Linked DNA regions of Ovis aries. The main gene of each other region encodes a partner of the protein of the gene in region 2 in a complex. Links are inferred from orthologs where the notes say so. Each region holds a gene or a part of one and is shown on either strand. Other genes may lie near its edges.

Region 1 (5,320 bases), on a different chromosome or scaffold from region 2:
GGGCTGCAGCCCTTTTGCCTTTCTAGGAGAGGAAAAGGGGAGGGGAGGGAGACGCCACTCAGTGTCTAGGGGAGGGTGGTCAGGAGGCTGGAGTGTCCCCAGGGCCCAGGGGCTTGAGGACAAGCCCCCACCTCCAGCCGTGTCACGACCACACTGAGCTGCGCAAGGCCACCGCCCCGAGCAGACCTCCGCGGTCCAGGCCAGTGTGACCCTTCTGCTTCTGTCCCACTGGGAGACCCTGAGGAAGTTGGGTTGATGCCTCACGAATCATAGACCAGCATGGAGGGGGGAGGGGCTCCTGGACGGCAGAGCCTCGGTGATGCTGGGTGTGTGTGAGGCCCATACTGCAGACTCTGACGATGCCCCCCTTCCACGCCACCCCCAGCAAAGCGTGTCTGCGTGGAGCTCACCCGGACCGTGGCTGGGGCCCAGCGACAGCTCTTAACTGCAGAGTGAGCCCCAGGCCTTGCTCAGGCCCCTCCACGTGGAGAGCCCCGCCCCCCACCCCACTCGGAGCAATTACTGTGTCTGAGCAATAGGGCAGGGCCCAGAAGGAGGGCATATTCTGCAAAAGGCGAGGGGGGTGCAGAATCTGTGCTTTTCTTTTTCTGGTTGAAACAAGACTGAGTTTGTTCCTTAAATGCAGGACCTGAGAGCTCCAGCTTTGCTGGCCCTGAGCGCTGAGCGACTCCTGGACGCCCCTCTCTGACCAGGACAGTGTGCCCCCATCGCCCTGCCCCACCCCAGGCTGCAGCCCCCAGGGCACGAGGACCAGCTTGCCCAGCTCCAGGGAAAGCCGGCTCGGTGTGATGTGCAAGGAGCCTGAATTCCACATTCACCTCATCCCTGGCCTGCACTTTGCTCCGATCGATGCAGTCGTGGGGGTGGTGTGTGCACAGCCTTGCCCACTCACCGCTGCCCCCACCCCGTCCCCAGCACAGTGGGCCTCCGCCCACCACACAGGCACCAGCACCGTCCCCTGCTCTGAGCTGGGGTGCAGCCCCCCAGACCCACTCTGGCCCAGCCAGCTGGCCCATCCCCTCAGCTCACTCTGCACCTGAGCTCATCTCCATTCTACTCTCGGGGCGTTAAAAATAATGCATTAACCAAAGCACAATAAAGAGCAGCAGGTTCAAGTTGTTCTAAGGTGTCAGAAGCTCCTCAAACAGCACCACGAGGTGTGTCCCGACCAGCTGTAGTGACTGGAACCTTCAGGAGGAGCAGAGCCCCCCCCCCCCACCCCTGTCTTTCAACTGCAGGGAGACCTGGCCTGCATGACAAAGTCCCTGAGAAAACATTTAAATAGGACCTGGGCAGCTCTGCCCAACAAACATTTGAGAGACTATTTGTTTGGTGATGGAAGCTTGGGGGTGGGGGACGCTGAGTCTAGATGTCCTTTAAAAACTTAAGTTGGTTTTAACTGAAGCATCTACCATTCTGGAGGAAGGGAAGGGGGAATGGGAGGTGTGTGCAGGGCAGGGGTAACTGAGGTTATCCTCATCCGCCTGCTTCCTCCCTCCCTCTCACCTTTGTCTCGGTGAAGATGTTTTCCTCTCTTAACTAGAAGCCTTCAGGTAAAAATAAAGCCACAGCGGCAACAGAGGGGGGAAAAATGAGTCTTTTTTAGGGTTAAACATCAGAAGACAAGCTTGTGCGGCTTCGGCCAATCAGATCCGCCCTGCCAGCTATAATATAGTACTGAAGACAGCCTCTCGCACAAGCTCTCAGGCTTGCTACCATTTAAAATCAGACTCTTTTTGTCTTCTGCCGGCTGTCTTGAGCCCCAACTCCGATGCGTTCCGTTATCAGCGGCCAGCAGCCTGCCGTCCCAGCCCCCGTCTGGGTGCGGATCGGTGGCGAGTCCCCCGCAGCGGCGGCGGCGGGCAAGGTTATATAGGAAAAGAAAGAGCGAGGCAGGGCGCGCGGGCGCCAGCAGCCAGCCGGAGCGAGGGAGACAGAGCGCGCACACTCGCACACCCGCACCCTCGCGCACTCGGACCTGCGCCGCCGGCCGCCAGGTCCCCGGGCTCCATGGGCGAGATGCTGCTGCTGGCGAGATGTCTGCTGGTGCTGCTGGTCTCCTCGCTGTTGATGTGCTCGGGGCTGGCGTGCGGACCCGGCAGGGGATTTGGCAAGAGGCGGAACCCCAAAAAGCTGACCCCTTTAGCCTACAAGCAGTTTATCCCCAACGTGGCGGAGAAGACGCTAGGGGCCAGTGGAAGATACGAGGGGAAGATCACCAGAAACTCAGAGCGATTTAAGGAACTCACCCCCAATTACAACCCCGACATCATATTTAAGGATGAAGAAAACACTGGAGCGGACCGGCTGATGACTCAGGTAGAAACCCAGCGCGGGGCGTGGACTGTGTGGCTTTCAAGGGGTTATGTGTAACCATGCAGTTCGGTCTGTTTGCTCTTCAGGCAGGTAGAAAGGCGATTTTGCCCGCTCCTTCCCCACCCACCTGCCGGGCCTCCGGGTGCCTTCCTCTTCCTGGAGGGGAATGGAGGTGAAGGGTCCAGATGGACAAGTTGCGGGTGGGGGCGGGGGGTAAGGACGCCGGGACATGCGGTCCACGGGAGCCCCTGACCGCATGCATCCTGCTGGGACGGCCTTTCCATCCTGCCTGGCTCTGGCTGGAAACTTGGGGAGACCTTCCCTTTGGGGTCATCTGCCCTTCCCAAGTTGGGAGTGGGCACCGAGGGAGGAGGCAAGGAGGCAGCGTCAAGGGGTGTCGGGGTCAGCGGGCAGGTGCAGCCTCTGCGCTTTCCCTCTCCTTTCTCCTCGCTGCTCCGCTTTTCCCACCGCTCCCCTCGCTCTGTCGCCCCCACCCCACCGTAGCCCCTCCACAGGCAGTGCTGACAAAGGGTGGGGGTTCCAGAGGCAGCCGGGCTGGCCCCTGCCCGGATCACAGAGCTTCCACCGCCACTCGGGCGCGGGCGGTTGTGCCCATCCGAGTGTGAATGTATCGATATTTCTTTAAGGATGCCCTCTGATTCTCCCGAGCCCGCGGTACTTGAGGGGAGGGACTTAGAACTTACTGGCATTGCATCACGCTAGTTTTCAACCTGCTTGCCTAGGAATTAGGAGAGACTCGGTATCAGCGGGAGGGGGCTAGAGAGACGAACCAAAGCGAAACACGCATTCCTCTCGCCCTCCCTACCTCCGCTGAAGACTCCTGACTGCCCATCTCCCCGCCAGTGGGAGACTTTCCGCCAACTCCACGCACGTAGGACTGAAGCTAGAAATGGATTTCCTGAGGAATATAGGTCAACATCCTTTTTATTGCCCTATTAAAATATTCGAGTCCTACCTTTAGGGCCAGGAGCGCACCGCCGCTGACGGAGCGGCGCTGGCGGGGCGCTGGTGCGGGGGAGGCTGGGGGCGGGAGCGACCCGGGAGCCACCTCTGGGGCCGCGGCGCTCCCCGGCCCACTGCCCGGCCTTGCGGCGGAGCCGAGCAGGGCGAGGACCCGGCGGGGAAGCGGGCTTCCGCTGACGGGCAGAGGGCGGCGAGGGAGCGGGGGAGAAGGTCCTTCTCCCCGACTTGCTGGCATCTGCTCCCGACCACCTTAAATCTGGCCCGCGAGTGCGGACGCGCGCACCGGTGCCGGGAGCGGCGAGAGCCGCAGTTAACTCTGCGCAGGCCGCGGGGGGCCCGGCGCGTGCGGGGCTCCTACCCCCGGCCCACGCTCGACCCCCGCGGGACGGAAGGGGCCTTCCCAGGACCCCTCGGAGCCGGGGGAGAGGGGCGAGAGCCCGGAGAAAGCGGCGGGGGCGGGGGGCGCCGAAGGTCCCCGAAACAGAGGGCTCGGCGTGCGCCGCGCTCCGCGCGGGGCCGGCGCGGGAGGGAGCGAGGTCCCTGGCCCGCACCCTGCAGGGGCCGCGGGCCTCATCGCCCCGCCACCCGGGCAGAGCGCGCGGAGCCGCGCACCCGGGCAGACGCATCCCTGCTCCACTTACTCCCGGGTTATCGATCCCGCGGCTCGGGTTTCAGTGCGCGCGGGGCTGGACCGCGGCCTCCCGCCGGCCCCTCCACGCGCCCGAGCGCGGGCTCGGCCAAGGGCTCCCGGCGGCGCTCCGACGGCCAGGCTGGCGGGGGCGGCACCGGGCGGGAGCGGGCAGGCCGGTTCCCGGGCGGGGGCGCCTCCCGGGGCAGGGCGCCCGGCCGAGCCCCCGCCGGGCCCCTCGCCGCCCCCGCCGGGACCCACGGCCGCGCGGCCCGACGCCGGGCCGCTCCGGCCGCCGTGCGCTCCGGCAGCATTTGAACTTCTGACCTTCTGTCAACTTCCCTCAGACGAACGAAACGAAAACAAATACTTTTTTTCCTTGGGCAGTGGCTATTCCCGTTCCCAACACAAAAGGAGGGGGGAGGGGCAGCCGGCGAGGGGGCGGGGTGGGGCAGGGCGGGCCAGGATCGTAGCCGGGACCCCCCCAACGCCCCCTGAAAATGGGGAGGCTGGCCGGGGGGCGGCCTGAGAGGTGCCCCCTTGATCTCCGCCACCGCGTCCTTCCCGCGTCCCCATCCTAAGAGTTAAAGCGCGGAAGGCGGGAGACCTGGGCGGGGAGGGCAGGGCCGGCGAAGGCGGGGAGCGGGCACCTGCGCCCCGCGGGCCCCCCACTTAAGATAGCCGCCCAGACTGTTCTCAGGTGCGTGTCCCTCCTCCCCCGTCTCTGTGCGTCCCTGTCTCTCTAATGGGACTGCCGCCCAAGTCCCTCAACCATGGCGAGATCGTCCCCAGTGGAACTTTGAGAGCAGTTCAGGAACGCAGGCGCTCCTGTTAATATTAACTCGGGGCGGGGAGGGGGAGCGCAGACCGACGCGCTCTCCCCGCAGGCCGGCCGTGGGTGCCGGGGGCTCCGAGGGGGCAGGGGGCCGCCGGGGGCCGGCCGGGAGCGGCGGTGGAGACCGCCAGGTTTCCGGGGGGTGCGTGGCGGCCCCCGGGGAGCGGCGCTCCGCGGTGGGTTCCACGGGAGGGGCCTGGTTTTCTGCAGTGGGGGCGGAGGCGTGGAGAGAGGCGCGTGCGGGACTTGGGGGGGGGACCCTTGTGAAGCTGGGGCACCCCTCCCCCGCGCCGGGGAAGCCCGTCGGCGGCGACAGCCCCCGCTCGGCTCCCCGGGGCGCGGAGCGGCTGCGCAGACGGGGGAGGCGGCGGGAGCCCAGGCGTGGGGAACAGCTCGGCCTTCCGCCGACACAAAGCCGGGCCCGCCGGCCCCGCCGGGCTTCACGGTGGCTGCACAGAGGCGGGCTTGATTCGCGGCACACGACCCAGTGAATTGATCACCGGCCCAGCCTTCCCGGCTCTGCCTGCGACGACCCC
Region 2 (4,681 bases):
ACTACTGATACTTTGTGTAAAATAGATAACCAATGAGAACATACAGGGAACTCTACTTAATGCACTGTGGTGACCTGAAATGGAAAGGGATTCCAAAGGGAGGGGATATATATATATATATGTATGGCTGATTTGTTTTGCTGTACAGTAGAAACTAACACAATATTGTAAAACAACTATACTCCAATAAAAAATAATTTTCAAAAAAGAAAGTATATAAATGTTTAGCAAAAAGAAAGAGGCACTAATATTGTACTAAATCAACCACTCAATCAAATCAAAGTCTCTGCCCTCATGTAGCTCACAGTCTAGTGGATAAGTTCATCATTGTTCTATGTCCAACTTTTTGTTTTAACTAAAAGAATGGTTAATAGGTTTATGGGGAGGTTTCAAGTTGGTTTGGTTATTCTTAAGACTTATAGGCTTTCCTGGTGGCTCAGCAATAAAGACCCCGTCTGCCAGTGCAGGAGATGCAGGTTTGTTCCTTGGGCCGGGAAGATCCCCTGGAGAAGGAAACGGCAACCCACTCCAGTATTCTTGCCTGAAGAATTCCATGGACAGAGGCAGCTGGCAGGCTGCAGTCCATAGGGTCACAAAGAGTTGGACATGACTTAGCATCTAAAACAACAATTCTTAAAGCTTTAGCTGAACCTGTTTATGGGCTGGGTTCTTTTTCAAGAAGTGATGGAGTGAAAGTAGGGAGAAAGAAATAACTGGAGAAACAAAAGTTCTGGAAGAGACTGCAAAGAGGATGGAGCCTCTGTTAAAATATATTTCTTTCCACTTAGAAAGTGTAGATTCAAGATCTTTTTCCTAGGCACAGATAGAGCAATGAAATATTACGTGTCAGAAATGGACATTATGCTCACTTTCAGGTGGTTAGATAGCATCACCGACTCCACAGACATGAATTTGAGCAAACTCCAGGAGATAGTGAAAGACAGGGAAGCCTAGCATACTGCAGTTCATGGAGTCACAAAGAGTAGCACCTGAGGAGCGACAGTTTATAATATCATTAGGTCTTTCATTGATAAATACCGGTACTAGGTCTGAAGTAGGAAGAATTAACTAATTGCTCCGTTAGGTAGTGAAAAAACTTCACTCTGCTCCTAAGAGGCTTTCTCTGTGCTCTCTCTCTGCTTTTGTAGTTACGCAGCCCTGATAGCAGACTGGCCTGTGGTTGTCCTGGGCATGTGCACGGTGTTCATCGTGGTCTGTGCCTTGGTTGGAGTATTAGTGCCAGAGCTTCCTGATTTCTCTGATCCACTGCTGGTAAGGAAAACTGAGCCAATAGAATCTGCTCGTCTATTTTATGTAGCCTTCCACCATCTCAAAAGAATAAGCATTTTAGGACACTTTATCTTATGTTATCTAGTACCCTCTCTTTTGCAACCTTCTCAAGCCATCAGTAAGTATAGTCACTTTCTGAAAGAGGGAAGACTTGTCTGTATTCTCAGGTTCTCAAAGGCAGTCAAGGAACTCGCTCACCTTCAAACATCTGGAAAGCTGTTTCTTGGTCTCCAGGTTAAGCTAAAAAGCTGTAAATTGGAGAATCTGCAGACTATAAAAACATTTTCACAAAATCTTTAAAACTAGAATGTCACCTCTTTTTTCCTGAGGAAGTTAAAGGAATTTCAGTGTTACTAAGAGAGCAGGGTCTGTTTTTAAGTACTGATAGATGTCCCTCGGGTATGGAATAGGGAGGAAAATATGAATGAGCATAATGATAACGATAAACTCTTTGTAAAACATGCATAATGTAATTTAATTTGACCATGATGTTTTATAACATAAAAATAAGTATTTACTAAATGCTAGGGATGCATATGGAAGAGAAGCTTCAGATAAGTTTTCTATCCTCTTTCCTGAGATATGTAACATACCAAAGAATCAGGCTGTTTTGTCACAGAAAATAGGTGATCATTATTATGTCAAATCATCTTGTTTTAATGCAGTTCACCTCTGGAGTAGCTGTGAAGAACGTATTTATTTTCTGTTGAAAGCTATCCATCACCTTGACATTGCCTTCCCAAGCTGTTATAACTATACTTAGCCTGAAATGAAGTACACTAATGGGAATTTGTAATATTTTGCCTTAGGGTTTTGAACCAAGAGGGACTGCAATAGGCCAGAGACTGGTCACATGGAATAACATGGTGAAAAATACAGGATACAAAGCAACATTAGCAAATTACCCCTTTAAATATGCAGATGAACAAGCCAAAAGGTAACCGTTTATTAACTTTTAGACAAAACATTGCTAATTAATTCCACTTATAAAAACTGCCTGAGCAAAACAATTACATCTAAAATGTGTGGCTCAAAATCTTTACCACTGAATGTGTTGAAATTGTCATTGTCTTTTAAGATTGTGTTGTCTGTTAGTGAAGGTTTGGGTTTGGGTTTTGTTTTCTTTTTTACCTTTTTCAGAAGTGAGAAAATTAATGGTGGTTGCTTATGCCCATCCATCCAACTTCATACCAAGCACTAAATAGGTCTTGACTTTGAGGCAGTATTGTTACCAGTAGGCTTCTCATCCTTGGAATGGTGAGGACTTGACTGAAGATCAAATTGTGTTCCATTTCAGCCATCGGGATGATAGGTGGTCAGACGATCATTATGAAAGAGAGAAGAGAGAAGTTGACTGGAACTTCCACAAGGACAGCTTTTTCTGTGACGTTCCAAGTGAGTGGCATCATAAATGACAAACCTCTCCGAGTTTCCTGGGATTGAACGTGACTGATAACCTATACTGTCCGGGTGTATGTGACTGATCAAACAGCTTTAGTGTTTCTGTCATGCTTCAAGAGATTTTGTTTAATTAACTTGTAATTTTACTTCTCTAGGTTAGTCAACCACTAATCTGAATTTATTTACCTATAATTAAAAAAAATAATGAGGGAAAAAGAAAAAAATAAGAAAGAGAGCATTGAGTTATAGCCAGTTTTAAGACAGACATAAATCTAATAAAATTACTGACCTTGCTCAATATTGCAAGTCATTTTAAAAAACTCCTTGTACATATTTTTAGATTGAACCCTGAAACAATCTACTGTCAAAACGCCTGTATTAATAGCCTTCTTGTGCCTGCCTTGTCATCAGGCATTAGTGGAAGAAAGACGAACAAATAAAGTCCAGAGGTTCAAAGCTTGCATGCCTCAGCGACCCAGCTCATATATGGATGAGATAAGTGAACTGAGTTAAGACAGCAGGAAGTGATGGTGACTGAAGAGTATATGGCAGAATATGGCCTTGAAAAAATGAGGGCCCAAATATTGTAAGAAATTCCCAGAGGCCAGGAATCTTGATTTCAATATGGCATCACAGATCTCTAAATGTTGGCAGCAAATTCACTAAACAAAATCTGCTGTAGTCTGTAGAGTCAGCCTGGTTCCTCTGTAGCTGCCAGGAAAGAAGAGTTCAGGGCCTCAGAGAAACATGTTTAACTTTGTATATCATGGATTAGCCCTCATGGTTACAAGTGAGGAATTGTGATAACTTCAATTTCTGATTAACTAAATATTAATATTGAAGCTCCTTTGGTTTCAGCTTTTTTTGTTGTTGCTGAAAATCCTTCTAAGATGTGTTTTTTTCTTATCTTCTTAGATCACTAGGGGACCTGATTGGGTCTTAGATGTTTCTTATATCTATTCAAACTTCAGGGTCTTTGTCTTGAAGACAGGAGTTTACTAAAGAAAACTTTGTGACCATTAATAAATGCTCATGTAATAAATTATTACTAAAGAAAACTTTGTGACCATTAATAAATGCTCATGTAATAAATATATTATTGTAATAAATAAATATAAATAAATTATTACATGAGCATTTATTAATGGTCACAAAGTTTTCTTTAGTAAATGCCTGTCTTCAAGACAAATGCTCATGTAATAAAGGACTTCCCTGGTGGCTCAGACGGTAAAGAGTCTGTCTACAATGCAGGAGACCCAGGTTCGATCCCTGGGTCGGGAAGATCCCCTGGAGAAGGAAATGGCAGTCCACTCCAGTACTATTGCCTGGAAAATCCCATGGACAGAGGAGCTTGGTAGGCTACAGTCCATGGGGTCGCAAAGAGTTGGACACGACTGAGCGACTTCACTCACTCACTCACTCATGTAATAAAGCTTTATTCATAAATTTGCAAATTGACTTTCTTTGTTCACACCATTTGGCATTTTCGATCGTATAAAATTAACCTACTTTGTTTCAGTTCACTTATGTTAATTTTTTAATGGCTGAGGGAGCAGAAACAGTACTTATTGAGCACCTGTTTTCCAGTATCTCATTTAATTCTCAACACGTACTTGAGAAAGTGTTGCTGTCTTTATTTTACAGATGAGGAACTGAAGCTCAGGGAAGCTGTTAGTTACCTAAGATCACCTAGCTAATAAATGATAGAAGCTGGTTACAACCCAGTTTTCACTCTAAAGACCACGTTCTTTCCAGGATATCACACAGCCTCCCTTGTTCGGAGATATAGTTTGTAACAGTATGATTCTCAAAATATTTTTTCTAGAACTCTGAGCACTCAGCAAGAATGAGGAGTATGTCTGTGATCCTTGACTTTTGTTAGTGCTTTAAAATTGATCGCTTGCCATCTTTGCTCTCTAGTTAGCTGCCACAGAGAACACCCTTATAATCCATTCTTGATATGCCTTGGTGCTTCATTCTTTGATTTCAT

Evidence for each region. The genes of interacting proteins can lie anywhere in the genome.
Region 1: the proteins of DISP1 (region 2) and SHH are in contact, whole or in part, in a cryo-EM structure (PDB 7E2I), measured with the Homo sapiens proteins. The link is inferred for Ovis aries from reciprocal best matches to the Homo sapiens genes DISP1 and SHH. Residues at the interface, in NP_001356523.1 of Homo sapiens: Lys242, Thr244, Gly245, Tyr246, Lys247, Ala248, Glu260, His265, Arg299, Phe336, Gly337, Asp338, Leu339, Cys340, Gln341, Arg342, Thr343, Glu459, Arg899, His904, Asp906; in NP_000184.1 of Homo sapiens: Pro49, Asn50, Val51, Thr55, Leu56, Gly57, Ala58, Arg68, Glu71, Phe73, Lys74, Leu76, Thr77, Pro78, Tyr80, Pro82, Arg96, Leu97, Gln100, Lys186.

Annotation. Positions count from the first base shown.
Region 1 is NC_056057.1:119,084,265-119,089,584, reverse strand, and holds the start of SHH (sonic hedgehog protein), read left to right. Parts: upstream 1-1,716; 5' UTR 1,717-2,031; coding exon 2,032-2,340; exon of another isoform or gene 2,341-2,493; intron 2,494-3,041; exon of another isoform or gene 3,042-4,065; intron 4,066-5,320.
Region 2 is NC_056065.1:25,739,582-25,744,262, forward strand, and holds part of DISP1 (protein dispatched homolog 1), read left to right. Parts: intron 1-1,148; coding exon 1,149-1,272; intron 1,273-2,099; coding exon 2,100-2,227; intron 2,228-2,587; coding exon 2,588-2,685; intron 2,686-4,681. UniProt on the Homo sapiens protein: Functions in hedgehog (Hh) signaling. Regulates the release and extracellular accumulation of cholesterol-modified hedgehog proteins and is hence required for effective production of the Hh signal. Synergizes with SCUBE2 to cause an increase in SHH secretion.